4 linked regions of the Arabidopsis thaliana genome follow. The protein of the gene in region 2 interacts with the protein of the main gene of each other region in a pairwise test. Each region holds a gene or a part of one and is shown on either strand. Other genes may lie near its edges. The genes, in order: AT2G02060, CSDP1, AT4G31420 and HB-7.

Region 1 (5,399 bases), on a different chromosome or scaffold from region 2:
AATACTCACCGGAGACAGAGACGGAGATGGAGACGGAGACGAAGAAGAATCGTTGACAGAGGGGAAAATGCGAGAGAGGGTGGAGGAAGAGTCAGAGACGATTCGGAGATAACCAGAAGTTCTGTAGAGGGAGAAGCAGAAGCAGATGAAGAAGAGCAAGAGAACGGCTCGGAGTACATTGCCGGAGCACGGTGGGATTACGACGGAAGTTACGGCGGCGGCGGCGGAGGAAGAATGATTCTCGTCGGAGTAAGAATCGTTGAGTATCGCCGTCTTGGAATTGGAGCCAAAACGGTTCGATAGATTCATCTTCGCCGACGTTGACGACGTTGGTCATCGTCTGGGCGGTTATAAGGTAGTTTCAAGTTTTTTGAATGTAAAACGCGGCGTTTAATGAGTTTACCCTCCAACGATGAAACGCAGCGTTTAATGGGTTTTATCTGCGAGATTATTTTTTCTACCGTAGGATTGCCGACCAAAATAACAATGAACATTCTAAACCGTAGGATCTTGATATAGAAACGCTGCGTTTAGGGGTTATCCTTCAAAGATCAAAACACTGCGTTTGGCTCTGTTTGTTAATTTTCCGTTCAAAGGCGATCAAAACGCTGCGTTGATAATTTATCTAAACTTCATTTTCTAGGTTTCTCTACTAACATTCAATATCCTAGTTTCAAAAACACATCCGAATAGTTTCTCTGAACCTAAATCTTGCATAACTTATTTAGCTACCGAGGAGAGAAATTGACAGATTAAGATCAATCTTTGAAGAACCAAAGCAATCTTTGGATACGAATGGTGCTGAACAAGTCGAGACTGCTGCTTCACTCGTTTCGCTCACCACCGATGATCCATTGCTTCTCCAATGATGATGATTTAACGACAGAGACAACGACAAATCTTCTTCTTCTTCTTCGTGTTCTTGTTCCCGCCACTCCTCTGTTCCCTAATGAACCAAAAGACAAAATTAGTTACCAAACCGGACTAAAACCGGTTAAATGCCATTTATATGAAACTAATTAGATTCAATGACAAGTAGTACTTAAACCGGACTCAATCCCTTTGGATTTGACCAGTCTCAATCAGACCGGTTAGAACTCATAACCGGACTTGATTTTGTTTTGCAACATTAAATTTCCAAACCGGTTGACAAAAGAGAAATTTATTTATACCTTGGGGAAATGATGTGACAAAAACGTCGTCGTATCGTTCATCTTCTTGATGTGAAGAAAGTCAGCATCATCATCATAACCACCAGACTCTGAAGTCTGCTGCTCTTTTGTTCTTCCTCCTCCTCCTCCTCTGCACCAAAGTAAAAGGACAATTCAAATACAGACAAACAAAAAAGCAAAACACTTTTTTTTTTTTTTTACTGAAATAAAATTAAAAAACTTTGTCAGAAAACAATTATAAATAAAAATAAATACCTAAATGAAGAATGTGAAGAAAGAGGAAAAGAGTGAAAACCCAAAAGACAATCATTCCTTGTGTGTAAAGACAAGTTGTCATGAAGATAATAATCTTCTTCACTGTCTTGTCTTCTTCTTATTGAAGATGATGAGCTTTCTTCTGTGTAAGAAACAATAAAAACTAGTTAATGAATATTCTCTTATTTTCTGTTCTATTACTCTTGAAAAATATATAAATGTATTTATGACATTTGTCTTATGAATCATGACACTAGACCAATAGTACATACTACAAACAGATACAGTAAAATAATTAAATTCCATCCATTATTATGTGTTTGATGTTAACAGTTCAAATTAAAATCAACGGTCCCATTCTTTTTCCAAATATCATCATTGATTCATTTCATAATTATAAGGAAAAAAATAATACCTGGTTTCTCCAAAGTGAGCTTTGAACCTCCTCTATACATCTGTTTATATATATGTTCAAAACAATCAAAACAAGGTGTTATGAATGAAATATGAATAAAGAAGAAAACAAAATTGATGTTTTTGGTAAAATTAATTACTATTTACCTGAAGGTGGCTTTTGACATGTGAAATGGTAAGTCCCTTCACATCCATCATCTTAAGAACAAGTTTTGGTGTTGCTCCTGTTTCATCAAACCCAACAAAATATCAAAAAGGTGACTATGATGATTCTTTATGAAAAAAAACAAAAACTCAAACTTTATGAATGAAACAAAACAACAAAAGCGTGAAGGTTTTGACTCGGTAACTTGACAAAGATGATTCATTACGATGATGAAGATAAACAACACAATAAGGAAACTTCAAACCTTTTTTTTAGCATAAAAATCCAAACTTTGAAGATAAGAATGAAACAAAGTAACAAAAGTGTGAAGATTTTATTCAAAAACTGATTTTTTACGATGATTGAGACAAAAGAATGAGAAAAGTCCAATTTTTCTAGTTATATCGTAACTTTAGGATGTTTGAAGCAAACAAACACACAAAAGTTTGGTTTTTTTCACAAAAGATTTGAAGAGAAAAAAAGTATAATAAACTTACGGTGTTGACCACCGAGAATCTCGACGGCGTGAACGAAACAACGGTGAAGATCCGGCGTCCATCTAAGCCGTGGAACTGGAGACCGTACGTAAGGTCTAACTCCGTGAAATTTATTGCCGTTAAAGCTTCCGTTACCATTTCTACCACTAGACTTACCCATATCGTTTCAAGAACCCTAAAAACCGACACAAAGATTCGATTTTTACTTAAACCCAAGAGAAAAAAAGGTTTGATATGTTTTGGTTCTGTGAAGAGGAGAGAAAGAGAAACGAGGAGAGGAGGATTTGAGAGGTGTGTGGGTTGGGATTAAAAGAGCAAGTTTTTGTTTTTGGCTTCTTTCTTAAAGATGACTGTCTCTTTTTCCATCTATTCTTTTTGTCTCTTTTTGGATTCATTCATACTTATTATTATCTCTCTATATATGTTTTGCAAAATTCCAAAAAATAATTATTAAAACTTGAGAAATGTTTCATTCATTTTTTTTGTTAAATATCAATTTGAGTTCTTACGAAAAAACTACATTAATTAAAAGAGAGTTATAATTTTGTTGTTTAAGAATTGTTCATGACATATACGTGAGGAATTTGAGGATACGTAAACTATCGTAAAGTCAAAATTTCATAATCTGATATGGTTTATGGTTGGGTCACTTATTTAGACGATTAAACTAGCAAATAAAAAGAATGATGTTATAAAATTGGTTTATTATACTAAACAGAGAGGTGACATGTGTTTTTTGACCTACAAGCTTGTAGTAATCATACGAAAATCCATTTGACTTTGGTTACAAAAGTAGTAATCATACGAAAATCCATTTGACTTTGGTTACATTAGTCTTGACTCGTGACCCCATTCATTATTATCTTAAATAATTTTTTTAAATAGTTTTCGAGAGAATCATTGCATATCAACGTACCAGAGAACTACACAAGGCTACATACATAACTTGCATGAAAAGAACATAGATTCGAGTATTACCCTTGCCCCGATCGATATATAACCAATTGAACATACATTTGTTAGCTTAGCTGGTCAAAAGAATATACTTGTCATAGAAAAACCAAATTTTGTAAGAACACATAATATTTACCTTATAGGGATTTGGGATTTACCCAAATGAAGAAGTTTCCTCCACAGTACCTCAAACTTTACTTTCTCACTTTTTTCACGATAGGTTTTAGACCAAAACGAATAAATTTAAATGAAAATAGCCCAACTGCTTAGCTTTGACCATATAGCATAATTATTATTCCTATTTTTGTTTTTTGTTTTGTTTTTTTAGGGTTTCGTGTTAAACTTTCTGATTTCAAATAAATCACACAATTTTACAATGGTCCTTCGTTATGTCTTTTGGACCACCGTTTTGACTTCATTCCCCTAATTCCTTTACATTTTCTCCCATTTCCCATTCATTTTCCTTCTTATTGTTTTCTTTTTCACTCCCATAATAAGTGATAATAAATCTTAGGATAATATTTATAACAAGAATTATTTATTTTCCCCATTTTTCTTTTTCTCATTGCTGATTTGGTGTACATGGAAGACGAACCAAAACCATCATGTCCCTATATGGTAGCCGACAATAATTACTGATTTCGCCAGTTTTTTCCAACCATGGATTCAATATTTTAATCAACGAATTGTGGACATAAATCACGTTATTTTATCAGCTATTCTACTATTAACTACTTATATTAACATCAAATACTGTTTTTAAATGATGTATGTATTTCTTGTAAGAAATTAAGTACTAGTATATAATTTTTATGTAGTATTAGAAAGTAATTGATTTGTACTACATACTTACTCGTGGTTTACGTGGTATCAGCCATAATAATAAAAAAATAAGAAAAAGCCGATTGAGTATTAATTAAGAGAACAAAATTTAATAATTTATAATTTAACAAAGTCGTCGTCTTTATTCCACACATAAATCAGACATTTCTATACCCAACGAAAAAAACAATCAAATAATAAAATCTACACACAAAGTGAGGTCATTGACCTTTAAAATGTAGCCTATTGTGCTTTGCATTTTCTTCTCATTTATGCACATTCTCTAAATTATTATAAAAACGTGGAATTCTCTGCATATATGCCAAAATTCGCTTTAACGATTTTAAAAATGGTTTAGTGTTTGATTAGACGGTAATTAAAATATAATATTCAGTCACCAGCTTGTCAAAGACACACGAGTTGCTTATATTACCTATATATTGACTAGAAGAATAATACAAAAAGCTACCTAGGTTATGATCATTGATCAAAATAATCAAGTAAACACATTCCAAAAGGTTTTATCAGTGAAACAATTTTACTATATTCACTAATAAAGCCTTTTATTATCCTACTGATGATCATTGATCGATAAACACAATTGCATGGATGGATAAAATGTCTAACCGAGAGTTCAAGTCTCAAAAATCAAAATGGTTAGTACTAATACATGTATGAGAGAAAGTGGAAGCAAATGAAAATAATACATTAAATGAGTCTGGCAGAGACAAATAGCTCCAAGAGAAATTGAATGAGTAATTGACTGTGGAGGTCCATGATTCATGGCTTTTACCACAATCAAAACATTCAATAATTCTCTTTGCTTGTTTTTTTATTAATATTATAAAACTTTGTACATACATGTAAGATAATGTAACCCAACTGGATTTTGGACTATAAAAAACATAACATTCTTTTTTGTGTGTGGAAAATTTGGATGTGCAAATCTCACCGAACCATTCGACGATTATCAATGTTAATTTATTATTCTATTGGGTCAATTTTCTCATCACCCATTGATTGAATTCAATCATAGCACATGCAAGAACAAGGCAAATTCTAAGATGGTTAAAGTAATATAAAAGGTGTAATCCATGAAACACCTAGAGAGAACAGAGAAGAATTAGCCTTTTCACACCT
Region 2 (4,273 bases):
GCGTTTATGTTTAGTGCATATTTCTATAAAATGAAGTATAACCTTTAAATCCATGTGTGGTTGAAGATCCGAGTTTTTGGATGTAAAACTAGTAGAAGTTGCAGGTTCGATTGCACTTGGAATAAAAAAAAACTGACCAAATATCAAAAGAAATTGATCCATAACCTTAAAATTGCTCATTAAGCTACCATTTCAAGAGACATCTATATGACAATGGAACTTAATACCATGAAAAATATTAGTGATTAATGCGATCTGAGGTGATTAGCAAGGTTTTCGTTGATTGGATCCAAGTGATGATATAAACAAGGAGATGTGGATGATGTTTAACCTAATCAGGTTTTTATATGTGGTTTATTACTATAATCTTCTAACCAATGATCATATGATTTTGTGGCTTTGTTTGGACATGAAAAGGTGAACACCAAACTTTGGTTTCCAGTTTCTTCTATCAGGAAGATTCGTCATCAGTCTTGGATTTAGTTAATAGTGAATTAGGTTCAAACTTTTAACCCTTTAAAACGACTGTGACATTCCCTAAATGACTGTACAAAGCAGGGATTAATCAGGTAAGACTGAGGTCATCACTTGAACTTTGTCCACAAGATTTGTATCCAGTCCTTTATTGGTAAAGAAGGATGAAACTGCAAAATCATATCCATCAATTCACAGGTTACTAATTAAGTCACAATTGATAATTGGGATGTCACTCATATCAGATAAAGCTAAAAAGTCTATAACAATTACCAACAACAAAAGAACCAGTGGATTGGATTCATCTTGTGTCAAAGGGTTAAAAAGTACTATTGAACTTGAGACGTCATACCTGTGCTGCTAATAGTCAAAACATCCAAGTACAAAAGCAATGAACTGAAACTAGCAGCACTTTAATAAAAAGGACAAAACTCAAACTTTGGATGACATAAGTAATATGATGAGGTCAAAATTTCCAGAAACAGATAGAAGAAAAGGAGAGAGCATCCATATCAAATAAAGCTAAAAACTTGTAATAGTTATAACAAAAAGGGATCACTCTGTATAATAATAAAAGCTCAAAAACACACCAAAAGGACCAGGCAATTTCATTCCCATCAACAACAAAAAAAAAGATAAATGAAAACGAAGAGTAATATATACCAAACTATATAACTCGATTCAATTTCATTCTTGTTTTTTTGTTTTGTTGATTAGGAAATCGATTAAGCTACAGAAGAACATTCCCTTGCAAAGTGACCTTCCTTACCACACTTGTAGCACGCATTATCATTACCTCCTCCACCGCTTCCTCTCTGGTCACAATCACGAGCCAAGTGACCAGAACCACCACACTGGTAACACCCACGAGAAGGCTGTCTCTTAGTCGCACAATCTCTTGCAATGTGACCAACTCCACCGCATGAATAACAAGTTCCACTACCACCACCACCGCTTCTGACGTTTCCGGCAGCAACCTTCTGAGTACAATCCCTAGCAAAGTGACCAACATCACCACAAGTGTAGCAACCATCGTTTCCACCTTTGACCGCTCCACGTTGGTCTCCGTTTCCAACTGATTTCTGAGTACAATCCCTAGCCACGTGACCAACATCACCGCAAGTGTAGCAACCATCGTTTCCACCTTTGGTGGCTCCACGTTGGTCACCGTTTCCAGCTGAAGTACAATCCCTAGCGAAGTGACCAGTATCACCACAATTGTAACAACCTTCTCCTCCTCTAGATCTACGTTCACCACCTCCGCCGCCGCCACCAATACCACAATCTTTAGAGATATGACCTAACTCACCGCAATTGTAGCAACCGCTTCCACCGCCGCCGCGCCTAGCACCGTTACCACGAGAGTTATTCTCCTTCTTGAGAGAACCACCACCAGGAGCAGTAACATTGACGGCTTTAGTCTTACCGTCGCTTCCCTGAGTAATAGCGAACTCAACCGCATCGCCGACGGTTAAACTCCGGTAACCTTCGGAGACAATTGAAGATTGATGAACGAAAAGCTCTACGCTGCCATCGTCAGGAGTAATGAAACCATAGCCTTTAGAAGCGTTGAACCAGTTCACCTTCCCGGTAGATCTCGCCGCCGATTGATCCTCTGAAGCCATCGTTAAAAAAAAAAGTTGAAGAAGAGATTGAGAAATTAGGGTTTTTTAAGTTGGGAAATCCTTAGGCGTGTGTGTGTATATATATATAGAGGTAGAGTGGGATTAAATCTGTAATTAAGAGGAAATTAATGAGAAAACCCTAATTTTAGTGGGGAATGTAATTAAACCCTAATTTGACTATGCCGCCTAATTAAAAATTTTGGTGGAATATTCTTTGGGACTGGAGAAATTTAGGAAACTTGCTATTTCACTTTTTTTTTATCCACGTCCGTTTATCAGCTGTGCACGCGTCCACGCTTGAATTTTAATCGTGGTCGTACGTTATGATTTTCTTACAGTGAATCGCGATAAGATTGGGATCTTAGTCCAATTTTTACATTGGGCCAATTGTTTGTGGTCCAAGATTTTTACTCTGATGGGCTTAAGCTGGACTTGGTATGGCCTTTTTTATATTTTATTTCCCGATTCGGCTGGTTACTACTAAATCAATATCCATCAAATAAATTGTACTTTTAGCTTCAGGCTATGGTATTGCAGCTTTTGCTTATGCTTTTCAAAACTACAAAATGTTGGTGATCAGTGATCTCTCATTGTCAATACACAAAATTAGGTATTGAAAAATAAAACTTTATACAACTTTTTGATAGTGGTTAAAAAACAGAGTCACCTACATAAAAAATCATTGGAACACACGTGGAAATCAAATCCTAGTATTTTCTAATAATTCATTCAATGGGAAAATTACAAGTGAAAGCCTCTAGATCCTCTTGATTGGTAAAGCTCGAGTCTGCTCTTAGCTTCATACAACAAAGCTTCCATATCTTCATCTTCAAGTACATTAGCTTGCTTCGATGACCATTCCAATACCGTTAACACTTCGTCTTTCGCTAACTGTTCACTGTCTGGAACATTCATCGCCACGTAGCTCAGCAAAACCATCGCCGGAATCTGTGCTCCGTTCTCTCCGAAATACGCTAACTGAACCAGAAGCTTTGATCCTCCAGCTTCGATGATTGTCCTCGAGTGTTCTTTCCCTAAAAAGTTATCCTCCGTCGCGAATTTCGCTAACGCGATCGCTACCTCCGCCGCTAAATCTGGTTCTCCGTCGTCGAGGAGTTTTACCAGAGGCACGATCATATGCGTTTCCGCTGATTTGAACGTTCTCGCTAGGTTTCCGATGGATCTTACACAGGGGATGAGTAAATCGGATCCGGCGTCGGCGTTTTCAACGATTCGGAATAACTGGTCAACCACCGCTTTGCACGCCGGTGAAGTGCGTCTGAACGCGGATCTTCTCAGATCTGCGTTTTCCTCAGCCACGGCGGTTATCTCCATGATAGCCATAGCTGTGTTATACTTAGTCTCTTCGTCTCCTTTGTCTAGTAAAACCGCAAAACAGAGTAAAGCTCGTGACTCGGTGATGACTCGGCAGATCGATGAGTTTCCTACAGCGAGTTTCCATAACGCTCTCGCCGCCATCGCTTTCATATAAGTCTTCGTCACCGGATCTTCAAGCTCTCTCCCTCTCGTCACCGACGCGTTTCGCGATTGATGTGCGATACTACCGTAAGCCTTGATCTGTGAACTCATACTATAACTCTTCTCCGGTATCTTTTCCGGGGGTTTATCGTCGTCGCCGGTAACAAATCGGCTAGAAAGATTCGATTTCGATCCTGATCCAACCGCTTTCATCGCCATTGTTGTTGCAACGATGCTATGCATCTGATTCGTCATCGGACTCGAGACTCCGATATGATTATCGTCGTCCTCCTCCTCGTTCAACGCCGGTAAATTCTCTTTACTACTACTGATTTTACTCGCCATTACGACGGCGTGATGCATCGACGTTGCTCTACCCGCAACAACCGCGTATTTGCTATGTTCTTGAACCGTTTCAAACGCTAAATGACTCACAAGAAGCCTAATCACGTTGTTTTGCGCAAACAGTTCTTGACATTTGGCGTGATTACCAGAAACAAGCTCTGAAACAGCCCAAGCCACAACGGCTTGAACCTTCATCGAACCTTCTTTAAGAATACTTGAAAGCACTGAACAAACACCAAGCTGAATCATATGCTCAACACTTTCCGGGTCACGACCCAGTAACCCGATTGTTCTCGCTGCGTTTTCTTGACCGTCGATTTTACCTTCTTTTACAAGTTTCAACAAAGGGT
Region 3 (4,549 bases), 1.8 Mb from region 2:
CAAATTAGCTAATCAGGCCCCATTGTGTGATATTTCTGGCATAATAGCTTGGGGTGTTGACCTGGTTTAGTAGCTTTCTTGTGCTATATATGATGGTTACTTAAGAGACATTGCTTGATGCCTTGTTTTCTCTGATTTACAGTTCAAGAAGGCGTCGAACCCGCTTCTATGAAAATTAGGTATTAACCTTCTGTTTCTATGCTTTTGGTACTGTCTTCTTGTGAATCTGTAATGTTCCTTTTCGTTCTTTCTCAGTCAGCTGGAAAATGAAGCGAAGCAAATGATGCAGACCAGCCTATTTGTAGCCAGTGTTCTTGGTTTTGGACCTCTTTCTTCTTTTTCTTTTTGTTTCTACACATAAATTTTATTTTAGGTTTGTCTTGTGACATTACTCGCAGCAGTCGCAGCCTTTGTACAAAAACTAAACAAAAAGCCTTTTTGGGATATTGTAGTACCCTTTTGTCGTTGTCTCTTCTTTGTTTTACATGCATCTCTGGACAATGTAGATATTGAGAGTAAATCAGAAGTCAACGTTCGTGTATTAATTTTTAACATTTCTATTTCAGTGAACATACTCTTTTTAAAGCTTACTCTTATTACCAAGTAGCAACACAACTTGGTCAAAGACTCAAAAGTACATGAAATCATCATACAATCCAACACTTGAGAACAAGTGGCACATACACAGAAACTAATATGGGACGTTATTGGGCAAGTTTCTTATGACATTACTCTTCACTCCGATCTTGGTACGCATTGTCTCGCCTCTCTTGCTCATCTCCTTGCGCACTTTCATCCTCAAAGTCTCCTCTTTCGACGGTACTGTCTTCAGACCCAGGCTCTTGTACCTGAGAATTTACCATTTGTTGGAATAACCTTAGTTTACCTTGCCGATTATCTGATTGGATAGACTCGGATGATTAACGGGTTTGGAGAAAACAAACCTTGAAGATAAAGAGGCAATTATCTGGTTGCTGTCTTGAGAAGTTGGGCGTGGCTTCTGTCTGTAGTAACGCATGAATTCACGGGACCCGAGAGTTTTAGACGTTGTTGTGTTCTCGGACTTCTCCGTGATCAAGAGCTCAGAACCACCAACGAGTTCTACAGTATTGTCTGTTTCACCAGATACAACAATTTGCTTTCCAGCTTCATCAACATAGCTGCTCAATTCATATATTCCAAAGAAAGGTGCGGATTAAGATTTGGCATAGAACGAGGAATACAGGCGAGAACAAGAATAATCAGAGATAGAAGAGAGTTGAAACCTGCTGCTGTAGTCATAAAACTCTTCTAGCTCAGCATCTTCTTCATCATCACCATCACCATAATGCAGTTTGCAATGACTCTTTGCTTCCATATGTTTTCTTACAGCTTCTAAGCTGCTGAATGGACGGCACAGCTCATTGCAGTACAGACACATGAAGTCTCTCTTGACCTAAATGATGAGCAATGTATAAGTAAACAGGAGTAAGAATTTCAAAGCTTGACAACAACGAACACTGAATGGTAAATTGATGAGTCCAAACCTTAAGACCAAGGTAAGTGAGAAGCCCTTCAGGATCCTTGAGATACTCAATATCGGGAATAAAGAAACCATGATGCTTATGCATGTGAAGCATACAGCTCTCTAAGGTCTTATGTTTTTTGTCACACATCAAACAGCAGGTTGGATCCAGCTCATACTTATCTGCATCACCATCATCATCCATATCTTCAGCAGATCCAGACTCATTCACATTCAACTTAGACAAAGAATCAGAGGCTTCTTCAGCAGCCAATTCCTCGTCAGAATCAACCTCCACCCATTCATCTTCACTATCATCATCAATGGAACCCCTGTGTTGAACACGGCGAGGAAGTTGCCTGATAATCGCTATATCCTCCTCTCCGTTGATTGATGTCCCTTGTGAAACCCGCAAAACATGGCTACGCGACTGAAGATGCTGCTCATGAGCCTTGGAACTCCTGTAACCTTTAGCACAGATTGCACAAGTATAAAGCATAGGTGCTTCATTTGATTTATTCTTCTCCTGAGCAAGAGCAGATTGTCTAGCCTCAAACAAGGCTTCTGTAACTCCAGGAACTCCAGCCACCTAACATAAAAAATTACAGAAATACAAAGATTCAAATGCCTAGAAGTAACCAAATCTATGATTATTGAAATCCTTGTTCCTTAGTAGAATAAGCTTCAAAACAAATTTTCATATAAACTCTACGATTCCATAACCTTAACTAAACAATTTCGATAGCAAAATGGAAAAGCTGTTTCTCAGAAACTTTCATCTCATCACCGACGCAAGATTTTCCCGAGAAACAGATAGGCTTGAGTTCAAATTCGATAGAGAAAGCAGAAGAAATGAAACCTTGCGCTTGAGATTGTAGCGGTGCCAATCGGATTTGTAATGAAGGTTACGTTCTTCTTCGTCCTTGAACTCCATGTTACACGCGTTACATGTTAAACCAGGCATCTTCTCTCCTTCAATATCGATCGATTCTAGAAATGGAAACTGGAGAAGAAAAGAAAATCAGAGAAAAGATAGTTGGGAGGATAAGATTTGTTGTTGATATGTGTAGAGCAACGACGGCTCGTAAATGGATCGGCGATCGTGTTTGTCTCTAAAAAAGCGTCGATTGATGATGATTGATTGCCATCAAAATGAAAAGGAAGGCGCCCCGCCCATTTTAGATCCGATCGGGTTGGAACTGACCCGTTCCTGACCCGATACAAGAGTAGCCCATTTGGCCCATTCTTTTAGCCTTTTTGTAACACTGACACAGTTGACGAATTAAGTATTACTGTATGAGTAACCAAAAAACATTTTTCTAATATTGTTTTTAAAATAACTACTTACAACTTGATTAATTACTTCGTTTAATCATGTAACTTTTTTTTCTTCCAAATTCTAATCTCTCTATTAAATTACTGCATTTATAAGATCTAAACATCATGTGATATGTTCAAAATATGAAAAGAGAAGAATATAATACATGATTTTACTACGATTAATTTTTTTTAATCGCAATGTTTTGTTTTTGCCTAATTTTATTAGTGGAAGAAATTTTAACCGCAGGCCTGTAATTTAGGAAACTAACTATTCACCCCCAATTAAAAAAAAAAACAAGAAGACGACAAATAACGAGAAATTACCAATTTTTCCTCAACACTTTCATTATTTCCTACAACGAACTTCTCCCTCCTCCTCTCACTTTCACCATGGATTCCGTCTCCGGTTACGCCGCCGGAGCAGGTCAGCCTCGAGTCGGTGGGAAAATTGTTCGACCACGACGCACCGCTGTTGTCAGGACGCCGTGTGAGCGCCCCGTTCAGAGATCCCGAGATCCTCCTCAGCAAAACCCTAGTTGGATCTCCAGGCTCGTTTACAAACCCGCCAGCGTAATTGCTTCCGGCGCCGGAAAATTCATTTCTTCCGTCGTCTTCTCCGACTCTTCCTCATCTTCGGAGGAGGACGAGGATTCATCTTCAGGTTTGTACCATTTATTTCAGTTTAGATAGGATTAATTTGAATTTTTGGTTTATTGTCTGGTCGAATCTGAAAGCTACCGTTTCGTTTGAAATGTGAAGTTTGACTTAAAGCTTTCCCATTTTCTCTTTCCTTTAATATGTGGGACTTAAGAGCAGTTAAGCATTGTTGTACTCTATTTAGTTAGGTTACTTCTAAGCTATAAACTTCATACTAATTCTAAAGCTCTAATTTTTATTCATATAATGTAGTTCTGGGATTGAGAATACCAACCAGCTTTGTTGTGTCTTATTCTTTTAATGTATGGATTTTTATATGTTTTCTTCTTTGTTTGCAGATATTGATGGTGATGAGGATGTTGAGAAGAACAATCCCGATTTTACTGAAGAGGTACTAACCACCTTGTTCGTTTTGGTGATTGCTATGCCACTGTAGTCCTATGATAATTGTTTGAAGTAAAGTTCGTGAAGCTAACACGTTTTCAACTGAGAGTTTTTTTTATAAAAGCATAATTTCAGTTTTTGTGCTTGTGTGAATAGGACCTTCTGAGTGCCCAGCAACCAAGCATTCAACGACTCAGTTCTAAGCGTGTAATTGAGCAGCTTCTCTTGCAAGAAACATTTGCAAGGTATTTCTCTGCCTGGCTTTTTGGACATCATAAGTAGCAGCCTCCTCGACTATTCTTATTATTTACACCTCATAGCTTAAAGAATCTTTCTGAGACGTGTGTAGTTACCAAATCTAAGCTGATCTTGTATCCTGCTTATTCATTCATGTGTATGTTGTTTCAGGGAAGAGGGTGATAGGTTAATAGATATCATCAAGGCTAGGGTTGTAGATCATCCCAGCGTCCCCTCTGCTATTGAGACGAGTCATGATGACTATGGATTGACAAGCGGTATGTTACTGATGGTAGACTGTGCAAGTAGACCGGATTAGTCTATGTGATAACGTCTTCTTTTCTATTTTATTTCTAGACGTGAATGTGGGTGAAATGTCCAATACAGCTGTCATGGAAGCAAGAAAATGGTTGGAGGAGAAGAAATCAGGATCAAGTTCAAAGTATA
Region 4 (3,998 bases), on a different chromosome or scaffold from region 2:
TTTGATCTTGTATTTGTTTCAGATGCTGTTTTTATGATGAAGCTTGTGTGTCTCTTACCTTTTTGTCAAAGCATCGATCTTTCCTCTTCAACCGGAACTTCATCAATGCAGCTTCTCTCTGGCTTCTACTCCAACGTTGTTTCGCACTTTCTTCTTCCTTTGGTTTCTCTGTGCTACTGCTTTGTCCAGCAATCCCCTCATTGGTGCTTTGAGAACCAGCTTCTACTTCCTTGCTAGCTGCTTTCTCGCGATTTGATTCTACCGGTATGGGTGAATCTTGCTTCTGATTCGTTACTGTGGACTGAAGAACTTGGTTACGGAAGCTTACGCTTGATGATCCGATATTCTCCTGGTTGCTGCTCGTTGTGGAGCTTCCTTGATCAGATCTTACTTTTCTCAACTTTTCATGTGATTCGGTTGGTGTCTTTGGCTCACCTGAAGTACTCTCCTCTAAAGCAACGACGGCTTTTTCTGCTGACTTGCTTTCCTCAAATCTGCAAGTTAAATACATAAGAATTTGCGAATTGACTGACTCTGTTTTGATACTCTGCTTTTGTTGAGAAAAAAACAAAGTTTCTCCTTAAATCTTCCGAGTCAAGAAGATGTTAACTTGGGTTTCATGGTTCTTTTCGTGTTCCTAATATCAGTTTCTTCTCACCAACTTAGTTCTCTTCTTGATCTTTTACATATTAATGCATAACACTTTATATATATGATTTCTCCTGCTTTTGATTTTTATTCATCCAAATTTAGTCTTAAACTTACTACTTAGCTACAAAGCATGACGAGTACTTACTACTTAAAAACAGAATTACAAACACGAACTGAGAATATACGTCTTTCTAAACACATCATTTATACAGACAAAACCATACAATTTCAGCTCAAAATCCTGCAAAATTCTCGCTGAGAAACGAGTCATTTGCTGGACCGAATATCTCTATATCCGTGGCTCGGTTCATGCGATGTAGACCGGTAAATTTCGATTTGAATATGTATATATCCAATCTTTAGTCTCAATCTGTTTCATCTTCTTGTTTAGAGTTTATTGTTTTCATGACCAAAAATCCCGCCAAGGGTAATTGTTGCTGGATTGGTCCAAGAGAGTAGTAGTATCTGATTTGAAACCTCTCCAATCATCAGATGATGTCAAACAACTATCAGCTGGTTCAACAATGTTCATTAAGTGATCTGGTTCTTCCTCAAACCCACCAAAATACTCTCTCTTGATGTTGTTACTATAACCATTATCATCATCTTCATAATCATGATGATCACACATAACCCCATGATGACCCTTATCATCTTTCATCTCCATCTCCGGTCTAACCTCTTCCGGTTTACGCCTCCGGTTCTCTTCGTTTTCTGATTCATGATGTGTGCTGCTTAGAGCAACCACCGCTTGATCTCCACTACACTGCCTTTCCTCCTCCTGTGTCTTCTTTTGCGTCGCCTCTTTTAGCCTCTGCAACTACATAAAGGTATAAAACAACTCATCAACAATCTATTCTCTCCTTCAATAAACCATCAAAACAGAGTTTTTCTTGATCACCTAATCAGTCCTTAATTGCAATATAACCACTAAAGCACATATTTTATCACATATTTAAAACCACAGTTTTTCAGTATACAACCACAAAATACACAGATTTTAACTAACCATGTAAGAATAAACAGAGTTTAGAACATACCTCAGAGACTAAAGCTTGTTTTTCTTTCTTTAAGGACTCGAACTGAGAAGCCAAGTTGTCGTAGTTTTGTCTGAGAATGTTGTACTCAGTCTCGAGCTGCTTGGATTTCCAACGAGCCCTCTTGTTCTGAAACCATATAGCCACTTGCCTCGGCTGCAACCCTAGCTCTCTAGCTAATTGAACCTTCTTCCTTGGCTCAAGCCTTGTCTCAGACTCAAACATCATCTCCAGTGACTTGATCTGCTCGTCGCTAAACCTTCTCTGATTGTTCTTGTTGTGGTTGCTCTTCTTCATCTTCTTCATGGTCAAGAATGGCTCTGCTGACATCATCGCCGGAGAATATTCTCCACCTTCTGTCATCTCATCGGAATTTTTCCTCAGAGGATTTATGTTTTCTTTATTTTTATTTTTTGGAATCTCTATGTTTGTGTGATGTTGGCTATCTATATATGTGTGTTGATGAGGCTGAGATTATTATGTTAACAGTTATATAAAAATGTGATTTGTTGTTCTTTTTTGGGAGGGCTCCTTAGCATATAATAAGATATAACTTTGGGTTTGCTTTATCGTAAATTTTTTATTCATTTTTGAGTAAACGATTTGTGGGTCGACAGGTAGCAATAGGGCGGATTTTGGCTGTTTCTAGAGTCGTCGCTATCACTTGTTAAGTCGAGTTTCATTTCAACTCGAAACTAATCATCTAACTACTGATTAATAATTTCCACCTTTTTTATTTCTTTTACTTGTGACAAAATTAGTTTCGACTTAACAAGTGTTAGAAAATTAAATGATACAAAAAAATCTGCATACTACACAATTTACCGCATAGTAAACATTCTGGTCGATGTGAAAATGGAAATGGAACAACGGTTGCGTACCAATGTATTTAGTGATGTGGGTGCATATTAACAAATCCTGTTAAGTGGATCTTAAATAAAAATGAAGGGAATTATAATGGTTCATATAATGATTAGCATTTCTGAACTGATTACTAAACAATTATAATGGTTCATATAGGGAATTTCAGAAAATGAATAATCCTCATCTCCTATGCATATATCATCATGTGATTAATTATATTCTTTTCAGTACATCTCTGGTGAATTTTTAAATTTTTATGATTGTGTGCGACAGATTTAACGTTCAGAAGTCAGGATGTGTGACGGGTGTTTTTGTATACGTATGACACAAATCATAATTTTCTTAGAATGTGACTTTAATATTATTATACTTGCATTGTAAAACATATATTGATTACATCACAAATCTCAAAAACAAAACATTGTGACTTAAGTATGATGGGATACAATTTTTTCCAGCTATTTGCTTACGCAATTTTTTCTAATCGGAGATTTGATTTAGAATCAAAGCCTAAACTAATTTTTATAGATAAGTGTAATACAAGTTTACCTTCACCACACGTAAAACTTCCGTGCATGCGATTTGATAACTTTTTGCCAACTCTGTTGTGATCATTTGTTGACCCCTTCCTTACAAAAAGATATTTACTTCAGATTGAAAAATTGACAATACTATTATACTCGTAAACTATTTGTTTCTAATATCATATTTGAACTTATATGATAAATCACAGATATAATGATTCTTGAGAAAATTTTCTAAATTTTTCTTTTTTTCTGTTTTTATGTTAACAACACCATATTTATATATATTTTTAGAAAAAAAAACTAAATAGAAATGGCATATAATAGTTTTTTTCTAGAGTCTATATAACGTTATTTTTAAGAAAGTCTTCATACAACTGATTTCGCAAAATTTCTCTAGTTTAGTTTTACAAATTATGGTACTTCAAACCTCTATAAATGTTATGGTATTTTAAGAATGAATGCCTCGTGATTATTTAACAAACATTACTCCAAAGACAAAAGGCTAATTTTTCGTAACATTTCATCATTTGAATGGAAGCAAGTTAAATTTTTGCCAACAGGGAAACCATATTTGAGGCAGATTCCCTAGACTTTATTTTCTTCACGATAGCGATAACAATTTAACAATATTAGTATTAATGTGAAAAGCAACTTTAATTCTTGCTTTCCTGATTAGTTTAAGGTTTACGTTCACCTTGCTTGTCGGAAATTTCTTTTGACTAATTAATACAAGCAAAAATATTAAATTGGGCCATCTAGATAAGATATTTTCAAACCCTAATATTCTTTTTTTAATAATTAAATCTGATATTTGTAAAAAAAAACATAATTCGAAATTATATCTATCAAGTATCAACTAAAATTAAACCAAAAAGAAGTACCAACTAAAATTTAACGTAAGAGATCAATTTCTAAAGTC

What was found.
Region 1: the proteins of CSDP1 (region 2) and AT2G02060 interact in a two-hybrid assay, tested with the Arabidopsis thaliana proteins (one large-scale study listed by BioGRID).
Region 3: the proteins of CSDP1 (region 2) and AT4G31420 interact in a two-hybrid assay, tested with the Arabidopsis thaliana proteins (one large-scale study listed by BioGRID).
Region 4: the proteins of CSDP1 (region 2) and HB-7 interact in a two-hybrid assay, tested with the Arabidopsis thaliana proteins (one large-scale study listed by BioGRID).

Annotation. Positions count from the first base shown.
Region 1 is NC_003071.7:492,935-498,333, reverse strand, and holds AT2G02060 (Homeodomain-like superfamily protein), read right to left. Parts: upstream 3,590-5,399; 5' UTR 3,574-3,589; intron 2,954-3,573; exon of another isoform or gene 2,659-2,953; 5' UTR 2,644-2,658; coding exon 2,484-2,643; intron 2,290-2,483; exon of another isoform or gene 2,252-2,289; intron 2,066-2,251; coding exon 1,989-2,065; intron 1,883-1,988; coding exon 1,843-1,882; intron 1,570-1,842; coding exon 1,428-1,569; intron 1,303-1,427; coding exon 1,173-1,302; intron 947-1,172; coding exon 725-946; 3' UTR 556-724; downstream 1-555. Other genes in the region: AT2G02061 (Nucleotide-diphospho-sugar transferase family protein), read right to left, coding at 10-309.
Region 2 is NC_003075.7:17,042,244-17,046,516, forward strand, and holds CSDP1 (cold shock domain protein 1), read right to left. Parts: upstream 2,319-4,273; 5' UTR 2,100-2,318; coding exon 1,200-2,099; 3' UTR 748-1,199; exon of another isoform or gene 645-747; 3' UTR 556-644; downstream 1-555. Other genes in the region: ARO3 (armadillo repeat only 3), read right to left, coding at 2,841-4,273. UniProt on the Arabidopsis thaliana protein: Chaperone that binds to RNA, single- (ssDNA) and double-stranded (dsDNA) DNA, and unwinds nucleic acid duplex. Exhibits a DNA melting activity. May be involved in cold resistance. Prevents seed germination under dehydration or salt stress conditions.
Region 3 is NC_003075.7:15,245,296-15,249,844, forward strand, and holds AT4G31420 (Zinc finger protein 622), read right to left. Parts: upstream 2,764-4,549; 5' UTR 2,469-2,763; coding exon 2,364-2,468; intron 2,094-2,363; coding exon 1,527-2,093; intron 1,436-1,526; coding exon 1,266-1,435; intron 1,164-1,265; coding exon 945-1,163; intron 849-944; coding exon 692-848; 3' UTR 521-691; downstream 1-520. Other genes in the region: AT4G31410 (E3 ubiquitin-protein ligase, putative (DUF1644)), read left to right, coding at 143-179; AT4G31430 (flocculation protein), read left to right, coding at 3,215-3,485, 3,820-3,872, 4,022-4,110, 4,274-4,380, 4,460-4,549. UniProt on the Arabidopsis thaliana protein: Pre-60S-associated factor involved in the cytoplasmic maturation of the 60S subunit. Involved in the dissociation and recycling of other late pre-60S factors before newly synthesized large ribosomal subunits enter translation.
Region 4 is NC_003071.7:19,164,723-19,168,720, forward strand, and holds HB-7 (homeobox 7), read right to left. Parts: upstream 2,246-3,998; 5' UTR 2,052-2,245; coding exon 1,692-2,051; intron 1,472-1,691; coding exon 1,055-1,471; 3' UTR 552-1,054; downstream 1-551. Other genes in the region: AT2G46670 (CCT motif family protein), read right to left, coding at 59-511. UniProt on the Arabidopsis thaliana protein: Probable transcription activator that may act as growth regulators in response to water deficit.